3 linked regions of the Oryzias latipes genome follow. The protein of the gene in region 1 interacts with the protein of each later gene in a pairwise test. Links are inferred from orthologs where the notes say so. Each region holds a gene or a part of one and is shown in the gene's direction. Other genes may lie near its edges.

Evidence for each region.
Region 2: the proteins of trip10 (region 1) and abl2 interact in binary tests that used the Homo sapiens proteins (3 or more experiments, as listed by UniProt). The link is inferred for Oryzias latipes from reciprocal best matches to the Homo sapiens genes TRIP10 and ABL2.
Region 3: the proteins of trip10 (region 1) and was interact in a two-hybrid assay, tested with the Homo sapiens proteins (2 studies listed by BioGRID). The link is inferred for Oryzias latipes from reciprocal best matches to the Homo sapiens genes TRIP10 and WAS.

Annotation. Positions count from the first base shown.
Region 1 is NC_019866.2:8,477,102-8,484,088, forward strand, and holds the start of trip10 (cdc42-interacting protein 4), read left to right. Parts: upstream 1-3,292; 5' UTR 3,293-3,617; coding exon 3,618-3,641; intron 3,642-6,987. Other genes in the region: icam5 (intercellular adhesion molecule 5), read left to right, coding at 1-58, 146-373, 458-721, 826-1,022. UniProt on the Homo sapiens protein: Required for translocation of GLUT4 to the plasma membrane in response to insulin signaling. Required to coordinate membrane tubulation with reorganization of the actin cytoskeleton during endocytosis.
Region 2 is NC_019862.2:31,428,080-31,433,515, reverse strand, and holds the end of abl2 (Abelson tyrosine-protein kinase 2), read left to right. Parts: intron 1-219; coding exon 220-1,982; 3' UTR 1,983-3,822; downstream 3,823-5,436. UniProt on the Homo sapiens protein: Non-receptor tyrosine-protein kinase that plays an ABL1-overlapping role in key processes linked to cell growth and survival such as cytoskeleton remodeling in response to extracellular stimuli, cell motility and adhesion and receptor endocytosis.
Region 3 is NC_019865.2:21,093,206-21,100,074, forward strand, and holds the end of was (wiskott-Aldrich syndrome protein), read left to right. Parts: coding exon 1-82; intron 83-347; coding exon 348-377; intron 378-461; coding exon 462-497; intron 498-599; coding exon 600-798; intron 799-867; coding exon 868-1,046; intron 1,047-1,120; coding exon 1,121-1,674; intron 1,675-1,793; coding exon 1,794-1,902; intron 1,903-1,998; coding exon 1,999-2,057; 3' UTR 2,058-5,053; downstream 5,054-6,869. Other genes in the region: semaphorin-3F, read right to left, coding at 5,264-5,641. UniProt on the Homo sapiens protein: Effector protein for Rho-type GTPases that regulates actin filament reorganization via its interaction with the Arp2/3 complex. Important for efficient actin polymerization. Possible regulator of lymphocyte and platelet function.

The DNA of each region.
Region 1 (6,987 bases):
GCAAGTGTTTCTAACAGTATTGGCAACTATTCCATTTTTGTTGATATCACTGTTGAATGTGAGTAAACTGTGCATCATTCTCCAACAGAAAATACTCAAACCCTGACATTACATGTTTTTATAATCTAAATTTGATTGCTTACAGATCCCCCCAGTTTTAACTGTAAAACACGTTACGAGGCTAAAATGAACGGTGAGCTAAAGACTCCATGTGAGCCAGAAGGATCACCTCCACCCACAATTACCTGGCTCAAAAATGGAGCAGAGGTATTTTCCACTCGGCACTTGACAAAGGAACACAGTGGAAATTACACCCTCAAAGCAACCAACAAGCACGGAACAGCCCAACACACGTTTTATCTGGAGATTTTGTGTATGTTTACCCTTTCACACAATTACAGCTGTGCAAAAATTAATATACTAGAGCTAAATGGAACATCATTTCTTCCATCCATAGATCCACCTGAATTCAACCAGGGAAACACAAGCGAGGAGATAATCCCCGGTCAAAACATGACTTTGGACTGCAGTGCTGAAGGCAACCCTGAACCAGAGACCCACTGGAACTTCACTTCTGCTGAGAATCTGCATATGGCCACTGTGGGGCGCCACAAGATCATGACCATCACAAGAGCCACGTCTACCAATGCTGGCCATTACATCTGTGTTGCCTCAAATAAACTTGGAAGGGTGACAAGATCTGTTTTACTGATTGAGATGGGTATGTATGGGGATTGCTTGAGGGGGAAACACTTCGGTTGGTTACAAAGTGGATTACAGATGAAAAACACAATTTTTATGTAGGTTATTTGGTTTATCTTACAGGGAAAACCAGTGATGGGCCTCTCTCTGGCTCTGTTTTGTGGATCATCATCTGTAGCATCTTCCTCACCCTCCTCCTCGTCTTTTTGGTTGTTTTGTTTTTTTACAAGAAGAGAAAACGTGGCAAATATAATGTTGTTAAAAACCAGGAGCCCTCACAGATCCCCATGATTAATATAACTGCTGCAGCGAATCCTTAGGTACGGAAGCACAATGCTGTTACCTCAGTAAAATCAACAAACTTGTGTTGTGTTGACCCACACGTGTTTTGTGTTTTCAAGTTACATTTTTACTGTATATCATAGAAAATTTCAAGTTTCATACTTTTTTGTTGTTACAACATATATCCTTTAAGAGCAATTAGTTCAGTAACTCAATTTAAAGAAATGTATGTTTTTTTTGTAAAAGTATTCATGTTATTGTATATTATTATTCATGTGACAATAAATACCACCTCTTTACAAGATGGAGAAAGGGGAATAGATTTTCCAGTTTTTGTTGACTTCTCTCATTTATTTTGATGTTAGAACAAAAATCAAGTGATTTTGTGACAACTTAATAAATGATGGAAAATATTGAATTTAGCTTTGGAGACGGTTACTTTTAAAGGGGGCTGGTCCATTACTCAGTTTCTCAAGCAACTAATATGCTAGGAAATTGTGACAAACTCTTACGGTTATGACGTAATAGTTTGCACATTAAAATGTAAAAACTGTACTCAAAAAAGGAAACTGAGAGTTGTTTGGACGTAACCGATATTACTTGTTCACAAAGCCTGATTAAATTGTTGTGGAAAGAAATAAGGCAAATTTGAGGTGTCAATGCAACCGTGTCAATGCAACCGCGCTGAGATGATCGTTCTCTTTATACATCTGAATTTCTAATCAAACATATACTACAAACCTGGTACTGATCAACTCAATAAATCAGTTTCAGCTCTGCAAAGATAAAGTGAAACTCATTTTTCCAAGACCCGTCGTGCGTCATTGGGGAACTGAAAGAAGACTCAGCATTTCTGAGCAAATATGAGCGTTGATAGACAGTTAAAGCCTGGATGCTACTTGTGAAGAGGTATCCAAATCTGAAGTTGTTTGGAATAATTTTTGTTTTACACTTTATCTGGATAGTACAGAAAGTATTGTACAAAATTCAAGATAAGTCAGACTGTCTGCTGACTGTAGGTTGATATGGTGGTCATGAGGAACTTCATCTTCCTCAGCTGGCTGTGGACATGCTGAACAATCAAAGCCAAACCAAAAGGTTTTTCCTTTTTTCATAAAATGATTTAATTAATCCTGTGTCATTGCTTTACAGTGTTAAAATTAAATACGCAATATCCTATTTTTATGGATATAAAATGAGTAAAAAATATCATTTTTTAACAGCTTTATCTTCAAAAGTGTCCAATTCACCATTGCATGCAGTTGGGCACTGATTGTGCATGTGAAGACAACAATTGATGCCTACGTATTTAGAATAAAGCTGTAAATACATAAATATAAATCTCATTAAGCTTTCCTTCACCAAACAAACCAGATATTATTTAACGTTGATACCAGAGTCACTGAGATCAGATGCTGTGACTGGAAGTGTCACTTTGAGCTGCTGCTGCCCCCAAAATAAGTTTGCCAACAGTTACAGGCATGTGACAGTAAAGAAGGGCAGACCTCTTCTACTGCAGTTTTGACTGCAGCTACATTTCACACGCTAACTGTAGTCAAGGTCCGTTTCCTTTTTGCATGACTGCCAAGCTGAGAATTTATTTTTATTATTTATAATAGTTTTGACCAATCAGAGGAGTGTTTACTCTGCAAATAAGTCAAAACGTCTTAAAATGTGAAAATTTTTCTTTAAATAAGCACAAAAAAATTGTCTTACCAAGACTTTTTTTTCTTGAGAAAGAAAATTCTAGTCAAGAAGACATGTTTTCTTAAACTAAAATTATTTTGCAACAACAATTTTTTTTTTGCAAGAATAAAGTTTTTTTCTTTCTAACCATTCAGTTTTGGTAGTGTATGGAATGTTGAACAACAGACATAATCCTTTTTTGAAGTCTGTTGAGCTAGGTTTTTCTGAATTGTGTTAAAATATTTGCAAACTTGATACAGAAACAGAGCTGGTAAATGTCAGTTATTTTTATTAGTGAAGGTTGGCAGTATATTTGGTATGATTTTTTATGTGTATGCATGTTAAGAACAATCATTTCTGTTTTGTAATTTTTTTAACGTTTTGTTTGCTTTGAAATGTTTTTTTTTTTTATCTCAATATATATTTAGAATAAGAGACCAAAATGGCACATTTGAAAATGTCTGTTTTTATTTGTTTTTCTTTTCATTTGAAGTCAGATGAAATTGTCTATATGACATATTTGGAGTACTGCTTCAGTGAAGTCACCCGTACTGGTTGTTGAGCCCCTGACCCCCCTGTGTGCTGGACGCGCCCCTGCAGGCCGTCAGGATGTGGCACGGAGGGCCTGGCTTTAGCGCGCTGGCCCTTTAAGATTTAGGATTTGGGAGTGACGCGGACATGAGAGCCAGTTTGTCCCTGTTTCCTTTGCTATGAAAAATATTTGGACTAACAAGCCTAACGACTGCCAGCCCAGGTTGATTACTTCATCTTGATGCGGGTTTTACGTGATTTGCAAGCGAAATCAACCCCGCAGCGTGTCGTGTTTGAGGCCGATTCAGCGCGTCGGGATTAGAGCTTTTTGCGGGGCCTCCCTCCCTGCGAGCGGCTGGGATAACTTTGGAGAACTTCTTTGTACTCGGGAGAAAGCGCTGCAAACCCAGCGGAACATGGACTGGGGCACGGACCTTTGGGTGAGTTCATCAGTCGACTCTTGTGTAAACTCAGAAAGTGAAAAATATACATATTTTTAGACTCTGAAAGACGAGAGTTGGAAAAGAGCTTGTAATCAGTGTCTAAAGAAAGTTTGGTCATGAACGCATCTCGACTTTTAAACGTTTACTTCAAAGTAAAATCAAACAATTTATTTGCTCTAACATTTTTAGATTAAAGTCATCTTTCTTTCAAACAGGACGCAGCAAACATGCATTTTTTTTTCCTGTTCAGTCACCGATGCACGACAGCGTCCTTTGTGTTAGTTTACATAGAGATCTGATCAGCTGATGTGCTGTTTCTTGGCAACATCCCACATCACTGCTGTACCATCATGCACCTTCTGTGCGCGCGCAGGACTGGGTATGCATTTAAATGAAGGGGTTCAGAAACTATATATCGCCACTGTCAGGATTGAGCATGTTCAGAACAGAAGCATGCACATGCTCCCTGTAAACCTGAATAGTCTGAAGTGGAGCATTGCAGAGATGCAGGGTAGGGGAGATTTTGACCTCATTGCAGTCTCCCCCTAGGCCTCTTCCCCTGTCCCTTTTATCATCCTGTGCTGGTTGCTGCGATAGCCTAATTAGTTTTTGTCCTACTTTGATTCGTGCAAGGACCCAGTGTTTATCAAACATTTTACTTAGGCTTTTTTGTTTTTTCCAGATTTTTCCCCCCTCTATTTAGTTGTGCCACTTTACAATAGACTTAGTTGAAATTCTCAACAATAAACCTAATAAACTGTCATGGATAAATGCATAAAATCTAGTATTGATTTTAGGTGTTGTGGATATTTTACCGTGACTCTTGTGTTTGGTGTGATCTCACTTGTCTAGCTGCACAAAGCTCTGCAGCCCTAATTGGTTTTGTGAATGTTTGGCTCTTAAGTCAACCTGTGGAGCAAGTCAACCCTTTGGCATCTGTCCCCTGATTGTAATCTGGTGGCTATTTTAAGCCACACTTTGTGCCATGCAAGATCCCCGTGTCTTCTTCAGGGGGTGATGGTGAACATCCCTCCTGTGTGGCAGATCTGCCTCTAGTTCAGATAGTCAGTGACTCAGGGCTTGATGTTCACAGCAGCAATGTTATCAAGTGACTTCCTGTGCAGCTCCTTCAGATGCTTTGCGGCTTTCACTTGATGACACGGCGGGTTTAACGGGTTAAAATGTCACCCAGAAAGAATTCTTGGGATTGTTCTTCTGTGACTCAGAGAAACTAAACTAAGGAAAATTTTGTGGTAGTTTATGTTCTAAAACCTCTAAAGCTAATTTTGGAATATCGATAACTTCTTTGAATGACTTTGTGATGGTAACTCCTATAGGATGCCTTATTTACCTGAACATAGTTGTTCTTCCTGTGACGGTTGTCATAAAAAAGTTGGTTTTCTTTCATGATGCATTTAATGGCTTAAATGGGATTTGTATGTGTTAGTTAATTGAAAATGCATTTTAGGTTTTGGAAATGGTTAATGTGGTTTCAACAAGTGTCCTTCTATTCAGTATTTTTTTTATTGATGAAACACAGATTTTGCTTCATAAAATGATCAACGGCTAAAAAAACATATTTTTAATGTACTAACTTGAAAGCGTAAACATAAAGAAAAACTAAGCTTTGACTTGAGAGAAGGCCTTTTATTTGTTGAAAACCATGTTTGCAGTCACAGGTTTCCGGCAGCAGCTGTGGTTTTTATCGAGCTGGTTCAAGTGAATAAATGCCTACCTGCATTTTTTTCTTCTTCTACCCACCTCATCAACTATGTCACAGGCTTAGCAGCAGGAAAACAAGACAAAGACAACAACCACAAAAGAAATATGTGCAGACAAAATATGTAAAATACTAAGAGCTAAAGATGAAATGTAGTTTGTAAAATAAATAAAACAGAAAACATGATAAAGTTTTCCTACAAGCTGCATGAGCTAGAAACTTTAGAGCACAACTGCAAATAATTGCAATAATATTTTCTATGTTGAGTAAAATATGTAAAAAAATAAAAGTAAAATATGATGTGAATGTGTAGAATTTTTTTTAAATTAATAAATAGAAAAGGACTTGCAACAGTTGGATTGTAATCAATATTGTTGGTAGCATCATGGTTTGGGCCTGTTCTGTGAATCTATGTCAGGTTATTTGGCTATCAAAGCCTATGTGAAAAAATGTGAAGCTCCTCTCGTGTAGAGCCTCGATACACAGTCTTTACCGTATAGAAGGACAATCTCTGGATGAATTGTATAGATATTGTTGTCTAAAGTCATCCTATTTAGTTCTGTGTGGCTATCAGTTCTTCTCTCCTTCCTTTTTTTTTTTACCAACAAAACAGTATTTCTTTTCTCATAGTGCATATCACAAAAGCACTGGGGTTTTGTAACATTTCAGTCTCTTTTTTTTTTATGTTTCCTCAACCCCAACTGGTTAAGGTCCAAGTCCACACTTTGTCGTTTTGCCTTTGCAGTGGATTTTTCTTTAAAAAAAGAAAATAAGAAGAGGCATATTTCCTCCTTTATACGGTCACCAGCTGCTCTGCACATGGTCAGGATGGGGATTATTTAAACCCCTTTTACTTCAAACTGTATAATTGTGGATTTCATACTTTATTATATTTTATTTGATTTTATTTCTGTTCTTTGGAGTCACAAATAATTCTTCAGTAAAACTGAACAGATTAGAGTATATTTAATCATTTTGATTGATTTGCTGTGATGTTGACCTCATCATTAATTTACGGTAAATTTTTTTTTTTTGTTCAGTTGGAATAAAATAAACATAGGTTGTTTTTTTTTTACCTATGGCATTTCTCTGTAACAGATTATTTGCAATTTGGCATTGTATTGTGTATTGTGAGACTGCAGACATTGTGTGAAGCCACAAGTCAAAATTAGAGGAACAGCGAACTGCTTACACTATAAATTCAGCATTGGTCTAAGTCAGACTGAAAACTGGACCACGCAGAACAAATGTAGTTTTCCCAGGATGAGTTAAATGTACCCAAATGTAAAACATTCTATGATACAATTTTTTTTTTACTTAAATGGTGATGTTTGGACATTTTAAGTTTCCATGACAACCCATCATCCAGTCTGCCTCCTTATGCTAAGCCTGTACCATCACTTTTGAACAATTTTCCTCCAAGCAATTTTTGAGGCAATTCTGAAAAAAGTTGAAGCCCCTGGTAAGAAATGAAAGGAATTGATCAACGCGTGCACCATACTTTAATATATCAGAATAACAACACTAATTTTGAAGTTTTAAAAAAAGCAAAGGATACTCTTTTGAATTTGAGATAAGGAACTGCAGGTTTTTGAGTTCTGTCTACCAATAAAGAAAATTATT
Region 2 (5,436 bases), on another chromosome or scaffold:
CCTTCTACTCCATCTTTGATTTGCTGATTGTATTGTTTTGTGCATTATTCTTGCTTTGATTGCTTGAAAAAAAAATTTAAATCTAAATTTTGTTTTGATGCAGGAAAAGGGGCGGAGCCCTAAATGTTTCTTTTACTTTTAGACACTTCTAGAGTCTTTGAATTAAACATGGATGTGATCCAGCTTGTGATCCTTTTCTCTTGTCCCCCCTCCCTCCAGGCTGGGCGCCCGTATCCCTCGGGGGGGACGGCCGGTTCGGCGGCTCCCCGGCGCTCCCCAGGAAACAGCAGCTGCGGGATAAATCTCCCAGCAGCCTCTTGGAGGACGTACAAGACATGGGCACATTCACCAGAGACCGCAAGACCGGCTTCTTCAGCTCCTTCATCAAGAAGAAATCCTCCTCCTCCTCGCAGTCTTCGCAGCAACAGAACCTCCCGACCCCCCCCAAGAGGAGCAGCTCCTTCCGGGAGGAGACGCAGCCTCACAAGAAGTACGAACCCACGGCGGACTTCAGCGCTCCCCTTCCCCTGCCCCAGCCGGACGGCGTCGGGGGGTTCTCTCCCTCTCCGTCCCACTCCCACGGGGAGCCCAACCAGACGCAGCCCCGCTGCTGTGGTGCAGCGTTCGGCCAGAAACCCTCCAGTGGAAGCTTCAGTTCCCAGCTTACCAGCGGGAGCAGCTGGGGGGGGCTGGCTGGCTTTTTCACCCCGAGACTCATCAAAAAGACGCTGGGGCTGCGGAGCGGAAAGACGGCCTCCTCCGACGAGGGCGGCGGTTTAGGCGCAGGACCCAAGCCTTTTCCTCGGTCCAATTCTACCTCCTCCATGTCAGCGGGACTGCCAGACCTGGAGCGCATGGCCCTGACGTTACCCAGAAACCACAGCGCCAAGCCCCTCCTGGAGAGGACTGCCTCCACCACCTCCCAGCCGGAGAACGGGGCCGCCAGGCCGTCCGAAACCCTGCTGAAGAGGATGGACGAGGGCACCGCGCAGATCAGGGAGAGGCCCAAAGCCAAGCTGCTGCCCCGCGGGGCAGCCGGCAGGGCGCCGGGCGTGGGAGGGGAGGCGGGCTCTGACGGCACGTCCCGGACCAGAGAGGAGAGCCCGGGGCTGGACCGGCAGCAGAGCTGGTCCTCCCCGTCTAAGGGGAGCATGTCGTCTGCCCCCACTCACAACCACAAAGTCCCCGTCCTGATCTCCCCCACCCTGAAGCACAGCCCCGCCGACGTGCATCTGGTGGGGCTGGACTCTCAGGGGAACCGCTTCAAACTGCTGTCGGAGAACCAAGCAGACAAAGACCGGCCCCGGCTGGTCAAACCCAAATGTGCTCCTCCTCCACCTCCCACTCTGCGTAGCCTGCAGCCCGCCCCCAGCGGCAGCGGAGAGGACCAAGCCCCCGCAGAGATGAACGGAGACACGCTGAAAGGTCACAGGTCGGGGCGAGCGTCAGGAGGAGCCAGCAGACCGTCAGTGCCACCACCTCAAGTGCCTCCTGCTTCTTCCTCCTCCTTTTCCTCCTCGTGCCCCGCCAGCGCCAACACAACCCCCACCAAAATGGCCAACGGAGCCCCCACCACTGCTTCCTTGCACACAGCAGCGTCCGTGGGCTCCAAGGGGGCCCTGCGCCGAGCCCGGCAGCAGGCGGAGCGGGTCCCTTTGGAGCGGGTCAGCCGGGAGGCCCTGCTGGTGTGCGCCGAGGGGCTGAGCAGCGCCCTCCACGCCAGCTGCGAGAGCCCCTCCAGCAGCCAGGTTCTGGACGCCGGCCACCAGCTGCTGGACTGCTGCTCGGGTTACGTGGACTGCATCCCTCTGACCCGGAACAAGTTCGCCTTCCGGGAGGCTGTGGGCAAGCTGGAGCTCAGCCTGCAGGAGCTGCGGGCGTCGTCCTCGGGGGGCGGGGGGCTGGGCCACACGGGACCCAACGCCGTGTTGGACAACCTGCACAGCTGCATCAAAGAGATTAGTGACGTGGTCCAGAGGTAGCCGCTGTGACGTCACTGATCCTGACCGTCACCACGGTTCTGGTTCCAGCCAGAGCTGTTTATGAGGGGCACAACATGAAAGTACCTCACGGAAATCACTACAACATGTCTTCTTTTGTTTACAAAAAGCGGTTTTCATAACATGCCAGTGTGGACGCTATCGCATCTCACAGCTGTAAATATCCAGAAAGAGTTTCACCCAACACGCCGTTTCCATCGGGCAGTCAGAACGGCCTCCTGAAGCGAATGTCAAGGGTCAAAGTGAAGGCGTCCATGACCAGCCTTACAGAGGAAACGGCCTCCAAACCCAAACCTGACCTTCTGGGCTCCGTGCTTCTTTAAGTCTGACAGTTGTGATCAAATGAGAAAATTTGACGCGTTAATGGAGGCGTTTGGGTTCAAAATGGTCAGAAAAATGGCTGAAATGACAGTTTGGTCCGTTGTGAGAAGGGTCGACTCATGGAACCGTGTTTACCGTCTGTTCCCCACAGCGCTGAACCGTTGAAACGGCACTTCTGCTCCTCCGTGACGTTCCCAACTGTCACGTGTGGAACGCCACAGTCCAGAACTTCCCACCAAGTGGACGCTGCTGCACACTGAATGTTGGAGGAGGTGCTATGGGGAGCCACATGGGGGGGCGGCTCAGCTCTAAGTGCCCTTCACAGCGCCGGCCGGACGCCCTGCAGCCTTCTCCTGTTTACAGTGCCTCAGATTTTTCCCACTTAACAAAACCAGTGGAACTAAAACCTACAGCAGGTTGCAGTATTTCTCCAGCACATGAGTTTGTTTGTTTCAACAAATGTCTTTAGAATGTATGAACTTGAATTTTAAATTATTCTTTTTTTTTTTCTTCAAAGCACAGACATATAGAGGTTTATAAATATGTGATTTATTTCATGTACACACAAAGTGTGTGGCCATAGAGAAACGTCCACCCAGATCTGAACACGCGCTCTGAATGTATTGGTCTTCTGTTCTGAACCCGGTCAAACGTGTCTTTGCTTCTCTAAGGTGCCATATTCTTTCCTCAGTCACACTAACTGCCCACAGGTTGCTTATTTGCCCCCCGAGCACACATCCTATGTACACTGGATATGATCTGAGACGCAATCAACCATAACAAATGCTGAAGAATCGGACAACACTGTAGCTCCAACACACATCTAGCAATGAAACTTGATGGAAGTTATTGGGTTGAATTATTTTGTGATGAAATAATTTCTCCTTTTTGTGTTTTTGTCATTTTGGTGCCTTTTTGTAGAAAATCGACAGTAACTTCAAGGAATCCCTGTATGTCGGCGTACCTTAAAGGCTGCTTTAAGAAGCCATAACATGAACATCTATACGGAGGTGTAGTTTGATCAGTGATGCTTGACAAGAAGACACTAAAACTGCAGCCCCCCCCCCCCCCCCCCCCCCTCTTTGGACAGCCCTTCAAAATGTTTTATTGAAAATATAAAAGTTATATTTGCCATAAAACTCAATGGTTCACGTGTTTTTGTTTTTTTTCCTTCCTCCCGTTTCTGCTACTGGGTTCTTTCTCGTGCTTTTATTTTGTTTTTACAATGTCTCCCTTTTATTTTGAAAGGAAAGGGGGTTCTGGAGAATGTGTGTACACAACATGATACCAAAGGCCACTTCTTCAGTTGGATTAGTGCAATGTAAGATCAACACAGACACACCACAGTGAATGAAACAGGGATAAAATGTCTGATGTTAACTTTTTTATTGTACAAAAATATGATTTTTTTTATTTAAAGCTCACTTTATGTTACTGTGAAGTTGTGCTTATCAGTGTTAAGCCTATTGTAAATAATAAAGATTTTGATGAATGCGTCTGAGTCTTTGCTCCTTTTTGTGACTCAGAGATTTTCTAAGAAAACTTTTACATGTGCTTATTATTACATGTAGTTGTTGTTAAATATTGTAAAGATGCAATAAGAAAAAAACTATAATATTTCTATAATATTTGATAAAACTAAACTATTACTATGAAAAATATGATTGAATCTCTTTTTCAACTAGATTATAATATTAATCCATCAGAATTTGCATTTATCCTCTGCAATAAAACAGATAATCTAAGGAGTTTTGCCATCATTTCTGCTATTTTTTTAACAATAGACAAAGACAAACTTTAGGAAACGGAGATGCTCTGCATAGAAATGAACCCAAAAGATTCTACTACCTTTAAATGTTTGTCATTGTGTTATTTTGAATACGCTGTACTTTATTTTACATTATATGTGAGAAAAAGTTCTGGTAAAATTACAGATCCAGAAAAAATGGATCAGCATGATTAAAAATCCAAATATGTTTTCCATTTTAGAAATTGTTTCACAGAGCAGCTGCTTTTTTAAGATGTTCAAACCAACATCTGTTCTTTATTCATCTGTCTCTTTATTTAGGAACAATTATGGTTCTGTCAAAGTGCTAAATAAAGTCAATAGAGTAGATCTTCATTCATTCATTAAAAAAGTCTTAAAAGCGTTGAATTTATGAATTTAGAAATAATGCCTTAAGAAATGTTTAGAATAGAATGGATCATCTTTATTTATCCCTCAAAGGGGAAATTGTCTTGTCTTCGGCAGCAAAAACAGACATTCACAAATACAAACAGCAAAAACGTGGCTTTCACAGAGGATAAAGTGAATTTAAACAAAAATAAATGAGTGAAAATACAGAGCAAAAGCAGCCGTTAGAGATAAAAAAAACTACTGCAACAGAGGGTCAAAAGGCCTGACGTGATGTCTGAGCCTTAAAAATTGTGTTGTTTGAAACTTCTCTGTTTCATACGTTTTGTCAAAAACACAATAATTTTGATCAAATAATGTAAATAAAGAGCGGAAGAACCAACCGTTATGGACGGTGAAAACCCCACTGCCTGTTCAGAAAAAGACGTGCCAAAGCATCGCAACACAGACCACAAACAAGATCAGAAGCTGCAGTTTGGATCAGAACACAGGAATAAATGAATAAAAAGGGGAAGGAGGCTGAGAAGTTAGTCTTAATTTTTTTTATATGCATGGCTTTAAAAAGGTCTTTGAATTCTGAAATTTAACTTAAAGATCTTTGTTGGAACACAGGGTCACAAGGTCACTGTACTCAACCCAGAAGCTGAAGGTTGGAGGTGAAAGTCACCCTGAACAGTTCTACCATCAAACATCTCAAAGGTTCTTCCTCAGTCCAGATCAATCCAGTGAGATCCGGGTGTTTTCGTGGCCTACCAAGGTTTTCTTTGTGTTATCCCCACGCTGAGCAAGCAGACGGCGACTGTGGAGAGGGAAACTCCCTCTGTGTGGAAGGAATTCCTCCAGCAGAACCAAATTCAGAAACCATCTGCTGTGAACACACTGAGAGGACGAGGAAGAGACGATGAAGATGCTCATGTGAGACAAACACGGACGGTCAGAAGCTGCAGCAAAGAGGGAAAAGAATGAATACAGCTGGGAATC
Region 3 (6,869 bases), on another chromosome or scaffold:
CTGAACTTCTCAGATGAAGGCGAAGCAGAAATTTTCCAAAATGCCGTTGTGGAGAAAATCAGTCAAAGAAACAACCGTCAAGGTCAGCATCTCTTCTGTGGGGATTATCAGATAGAATCATGAACGCGACAAGTTTGTGCCTGATTTGCATTTCCGATGAACTGAACTTCTGTTTTTATCCGGGGCTCAGAGGAAAGTGGCAAATAAAGTAAATGCATGTTTGAATATTTACAAATTCTGTGTTTTTAAGTTATATGGTAAGATTTTTTGTTGTTAAAATACTGAAAGAAACAGTTTGCACTCATTCAAGTGTTTTTGGTGGCCTGAATTTTTTTTCCTGTTGACAGATAAGAAACAGCGCCCCCTACCGACGCCTGGTAAATACACATTTTTTACACTATTTTTGGATAAATTCCTCCTGCATTTCAGAATATCATTTTTTCTCCTCTGTTTTGTTGTAGATCGAGGTTCCTTGCCTCCAGTTCCTCCTGACAAAGGTGTCTTTTTTCAAATTCAATTTCAAATTGTGGTTTCAATATTTTTTTTTCAAATTAAATAAATATATGATAGTGTCTTAATTGGAATTTCTTTCTAAAAAGCAGCAGCTGGTAACCACGGTTCCTTTCACATGGCAACAGTGGACATCCAAAACCCAGACATCCAGTCTTCACGTTATCGCACCATGCCTCCACCCCCTGCTGCTACAGCTGTAGTTATTAATAATAAGAAAAGCAAGAAAAGCAAGAAAAAAGGTCCTAAACTGTCCAAGGCAGACATAGGAGCTCCCAGCGGGTTTACGTAAGAAATGGAGTCTTTAGAGGTACTCATGTGTTGCTGTCTGTTTATTCCTGCTCTCCTCTCTGCCAGGCATGTGTCGCATGTTGGATGGGACCCCAATAACATTGACCCTAATCTGCTGAAGCTGTTCTCCCAGGCGGGCATTAGTGAAGCTGACCTCAAGGACGAGAAGACCTCCCAGCTCATCTATAATGTCATTGAGCAGTCCGGGGGAATTGAAGCTGTCCAACAGGAGGCAAACAGAGCAGGTTGGATGCATATGTTTGATCGTTTGATCATTTTCAGAGCCTCTGCTAAATGCATAACTCACATGTTCTACCAGCTGCTGCACCTCCACCACCTCCACATGGCAGACAGGGAGCCCTGCCTCCTCTGCCCGGCTCTGGGTCTTCCGCTCCAGCCCCTCCGCCCCCTCGAGGTCGCTCCGGCCCTCTACCACCGCTCCCAGGTCAATCCCAGCGGGGGAGCCCGACTCCAAATCCACCTCCACCACGTGGGGGCCTGCCACCTCCGCCTCCATCAAGCCGAGGGGGCCTACCCCCACCCCCTCCGCAGGCTCCACCCTCCTCAAAACAGGGTGCCTCATTCCAAGTGTCCTCCCACATCATGCCACCACCCCCACCACCATCATCATCAAACAAACGCTCCATGGGGGTTCCTCCCCCTGTCCCATCAGCACCCACCAGGGGAGGGGGAGGGGGACCTCCACCACCGCCTCCACCACCCCCACCTCCACCTCCTCAAACCCCCATTCCTTCAGATTTTCCACCTCCTCCACCAAGTTTTGATTCCCCACAACCTGCACAGACGTCTGCGGGAGGAGAAGGCAGAGGAGCGCTGCTTGACCAGATCCGACTAGGGAAAAGTCTCAAAAAGGTTATTTTTTTCCAAGAAATACAAAAGATAATCAGTTTTCAGATTTCCATGTTTAATTTACTTATTTATTAATTTTAAGATTTATAAAAATTCTGTTTAATCCTCCCTCTCTGATACAGGTGGAGAACTCTGATCCAGCTCCACCTGCGGCGGCAGAACCGGCCCCGGGCATTGTGGGTGCTCTCATGATGGTCATGCAGAAGAGGAGTAAAGTCATCCATTCCTCTGGTAAATGCTGGAAATCAACTGCTGTGATCACATACGTGCTTGACTTGAGCTGTCAGAAGAAGACAAATGTAACATTTTTATGTCCTCACTTTTCAGATGAAAGTGAAGATGAGGGAGGAGATGATGATGATGACGATGAAGAATGGGATGACTGATCTTACGTTGATGGTTTTTGTGTCTTCTTTACTTTTTAACTGTTAAATACAATGAATTCGGCACAGACTCGCGTATTTCAAACTGGACTATGACTCATGTATATGTACTCACATTGCCAAAAGTATTTACTCACTCATTGCAAAATTAAATGTAGGTGTTTTTAGCCATTTCCATGACAACAGGTGTATAAGGTCATCGACTCATAAATGCAGACTGTTTTTGTAATTGGGTGGGAAAGAATGGATCGTTCTCAGGTTAGCAGTGATCTCATGGGGCGCAATGGGATAGGTTGATACCTGTGCAACAGGTACAGTTGTTAAACCTTCATGCTGCTGGATATTATGACCAAGTGGAAGCGAACAGCAAATGGGTGGTGGGTTTCCTACTGATGTGATGTGCGCAGAGGTTGCCAAATTTGTGACCTACAAACCTCCAAACGTCCGATTTCAAATTAGTTCAAAACCGGGGGGAAACTTCATTGAATGTGTTTCCATGACTCAGCATCTGCACCCAAACCACACACCGTAAATCAGATACCGTACCGCTACAAGAGTTTTGAAGAGTTCTCTCCATGTATGAAGTTTGGTGGTGGGGTTGTTTTTTCATGAGCTGAGCTTGTCTCCTCTGTTCTAAGAAAAAGAATTTCTCAATATTTCAATATTTAGAAGATTTTTTGACAATTCCATGCTTTCCGTTTTGTGAAAACCAATTGGAGAAGACCTTTTTCTGTTTTAACATGTCCACACACCAGTGCAGAAATCAAGGAGCATGAAAACGTGGATGAGGAATTCGGTGTAGAGGAACTTGACTGGCCTCAACCTAATAAAACGCCTTGGGGTGAATTAGAGAGAAAACTGTGAGCCAATAATTGTTCAACAGTAGTGTCTGACTGGACAAATGTACTTCTGGAAAAATATTCAAACATTCCCATTAACCCTTGTGAAAAGCCTTCCCATTGGTGGTAAAACCTGTTAAGCTACGGACACATCGGGCATGTGATGTACCTCCAAGAACCTGCTAAACGTGGGTTCTTTAATGCAGATTTGGCCCATGGGGTTCACACTGGACTAGTAGGGAGGGGCTTCTTCTTCTTCTTTTTCTTTTGCTGCTTTTTACTAGTGCATGTCTGCCACCCACAGTTGGGAAAGGCTTGGTGCAAAATGTTGAAGCGGTGCAAATCCTTTGAATCTTACTCCAGACTTTTTCTTTTCCGGCTCTATTCCGACATATGAAAGTCTATATGTCATAGAATTCCAGCCGTGCACAAAACATGATCATTTCTGCTCTGTGATCAATTTTCAAACGGTTTGTACTTGTGTGAATTAAAAGGGATGGCATCCAAACGTCACTACCAAATCTGAGTCCCTCATTGGTCAAAGTTCAACCTGGTTTAACTTGCAATGCTGGTTCATTGACCGCGCGTTTTGTATGTAGAGCATGAAAATGGACTTGAAAATATTACAGCTATGCACGAATGGGAGAGTTTTTAACACGGTAGTCCAAAACATGCATTTACATGCATTTCCACAGACTTTTCATTAAAAGTGGTCACGTGAACATGTGTTACAGAGGGCGATGTGAAGGTAGCTTCATTTTGAAAAAAATGGTCCAACCTCCAATTAAACCCAATGATTTGTGGAAGCAATGTCCCTTCAATTCATCTATGTCCAAGCAGAGAAGCGACTATTTTTGGCAATATAGTGTATGTATTAAAGGCATGTCGGTGATTAAGTGGATATACACACAAGTGTAATGGCACGTGGGTGGGTACAGTTAAGCTAGCTGTTCTTGCAGACATTTAAGATAAAATTCTAGTCTTTGTCCTTCACAAAGATCCAGACCAGCAGATGCTTTAAAGCTGCTCACAGTATTCTTTAAAATATTTTCAGGATCTTTTTTATAGTCCCACCAACCACCATGTTCCACTGTAGGATTCACTTCCTTTTCCGAAAATAAAAACAGCATGTCTCAAACCCCCTAAATATGGTTCTATCCATATTAATTTCCAAAACTTATTTTTAAAGATTTTAAATGTCTCAAAGGGCCACAAGTAGAGCAACTTTTTGGGTCATGATTTTGAAGATGAAAAGCTGTTTCCTATGATCATGATGAACCAAGTCTATTTGACATATATCCAACACTTATTTTATTCACCTATTTGACTTTTAGTAATTGTGACTCAATTATTTGGTATTTTATGAATTAAAAGGGAAGATTTAACACTGAGGACTGTGAAGTTTTATACAGAATGCATTTTACCAGAATTCTAAGGAAAAGTTTCTAAAGTTTTTTTTGTTCGCTCTTATTGTACATATTTACTTTGTAAATCTGCAAAATATGAACACCATCAATGCACTGCTAAGCCAGTTTCATTACCCAGTTTATAACACACTGTACATAAAAAAGAGATTTTTTTGTGCAAAGATCCCTGTTTCCCTCAAATGCCACCACCAACAAAGTGCATAACTGGAAGAACACTGTATGCTACACACATCTTCAATATTCACACACTATAGCTCACAAAAGCACAGGACACTGAGGCGAACATTATACATCTACATCCAATGGAATTAGCTTAACAGAATACATTACACCTCACAAAGATCGCAACATGGCAAGTCTGAAAACGGAACAACAGTCAATTGTACAACTTGCAAAAACAGCAATATGCATGCAAAATATGCATTTATGTCAGTATACGCTTCATACAATACAATGGTAGAACAGGTCATGAACACATATATTATATCCACAATCAATATATTACATTTTTAGGATTCTTGAAAGAAAGCAAACCTGTTTTTTGGATGTTTTAATGCAACAATGTACACAATACTTATGCGTTTTTGTCAGATTCTTTCCAAACTTTTATGAAAAGTGTGTTTTATTTCACTGAGCAGCCTCCATGTTTGACTATTCATTTATCTTAGTATTTTTTTTTTTAACCACAGTGACTTTACATGATAATAAAGTTGCTTTTTGGCATTCACAGACGCATAATGTTTAGCTTGTGGTCATCAGTTGTGTAAACTTTATTTTAAATGCATGTTTCAGGGCTGACACCTGTAAAGCCATCAACACTTTACCGAAAAAGAGACATGTCATCAGTAACGTGATAAGTGGAAGTCACACCTCAACATGTTTAAAATGAAAAGTTCAGCATAATAAAGTCCATTCAGGCCCGAGTCAGGTGGTGTTCAAGGTTCTAACCGAGCCCCTGGTCTTGGCTCTCTGTGTGCCTGCGGCTGGTGCGTTTGCGCTGTTGCTGTTGTTTGGTGTTGTCCGGTTCCCAGTAGGTCTGGCAGTACTGGTTGATTAGTCTAATCTCCGGGGAAAATGGAGTGGGAGAGTCCGGCAGGCGTGGGTAGGCTGGCGCCTGGCGAGTTTTCAGCTCCTCATCCTCATCTTGAGCGGTGAGTGCTAGGACAATGTCTCGGTCGAGGATGCGCAAAGCCACACGAGCCAGCGTGTGTTTGAAGTTGTTTTCAGTGGCGAGGCAGTGGTAGAGACCGGCATCTGACTGATTGAGAGACTTCAGCAGGATGCCGTGGTTGGTCTTCAGAACTCCTCCAGCTCGGTTCAGCTGCAAAGAAAATAAGAAACAACAAAACTCACACCGATCTTTTTGTCTCATTGAGGGATTTAAAAAGAAGAAACCTTTTACTTTGATTAATTGCTAAAAATATCAGGTTAATGCAACTATTGACATACACTAATAAAATGTGGCTTTCAGTGGTTTCCAATAAGTATTGAAAACAGTAATGAAACAGTAATGTTCAGTATAAAAAAAAACTAAAAAACCCAAAGACCAAAGATTTTTTTCAAAAACCTTAAATTTACAAATTTAAAAGATTAAAAAATAAAATATTTTTACTATTTAAAATAGTGTAAATACATGGTTGCTCACATGTCAAAAGTGAAATTAATATAAAATAATATAAAGTTAATTCACATGAAAATAACATCTAAAGCAGCTTACATTCGTGGATGTATCCATCTCAAATGTTTGAAAACTCATAAAATCCAAAAATTTATCATTTTGGATTATGTAATCTTTTTAAAAGAGGCATTTATTTATAATTGGGGAAATTTATGAGCACATTTCAGGAGGTCAACAATAGATTACTCAAGTAAATGTTAGCTAATTTTTAATATCACATGTAACTTACAATTTTTGCTCAATTCTTTATGTATTCAAAAATTTGAATGTATTTTTACAGTTTATTTATTTGTTATTTGCATTCCCTTTCAAATTAACTGGTTTTCTTCAGCACGTATATAAATATATCGGTATGTTACATTATCTTTATTTTCTGAAATACAAAGCCACAGTTAACTTTTTGGTGACGAAAAGCAGGTTCTGAGATTTTTTCTTGTTTTTTAACAGGCCTGTTGTGCTTCTTGTGATTAGTATGTGTCTCACAAAGATCTGCCTTTGATGATCAGTTGGAATTTTTAAACGGTTTGATGCATTAATATTTAAAATCAGGTGTTTTTTTTCAATGGAGAAGCTCATCAAAGGCGTGTGACATGTGACCTGAATAAAAGTGCAGAGTTGATCATTTGGTGATGCATCAAAGATTACATTTTGCTTAATATATTTTTTAACTTTGATTTATTTGTCACACACATTGTCATAAATTATCAGTTTGTTTGATCTTTATGGTTAAAAACTGAACATTTATCTTGTTTTTTAATTAGTGCCTAAAATCCAGATTAACCTAAATATATTAATTGATTAAAAAATGTTTTAACAAGAACTGTTTTATGCATAAATAACCTTTTTCTAAAATCATGGTTTTACCATGAAT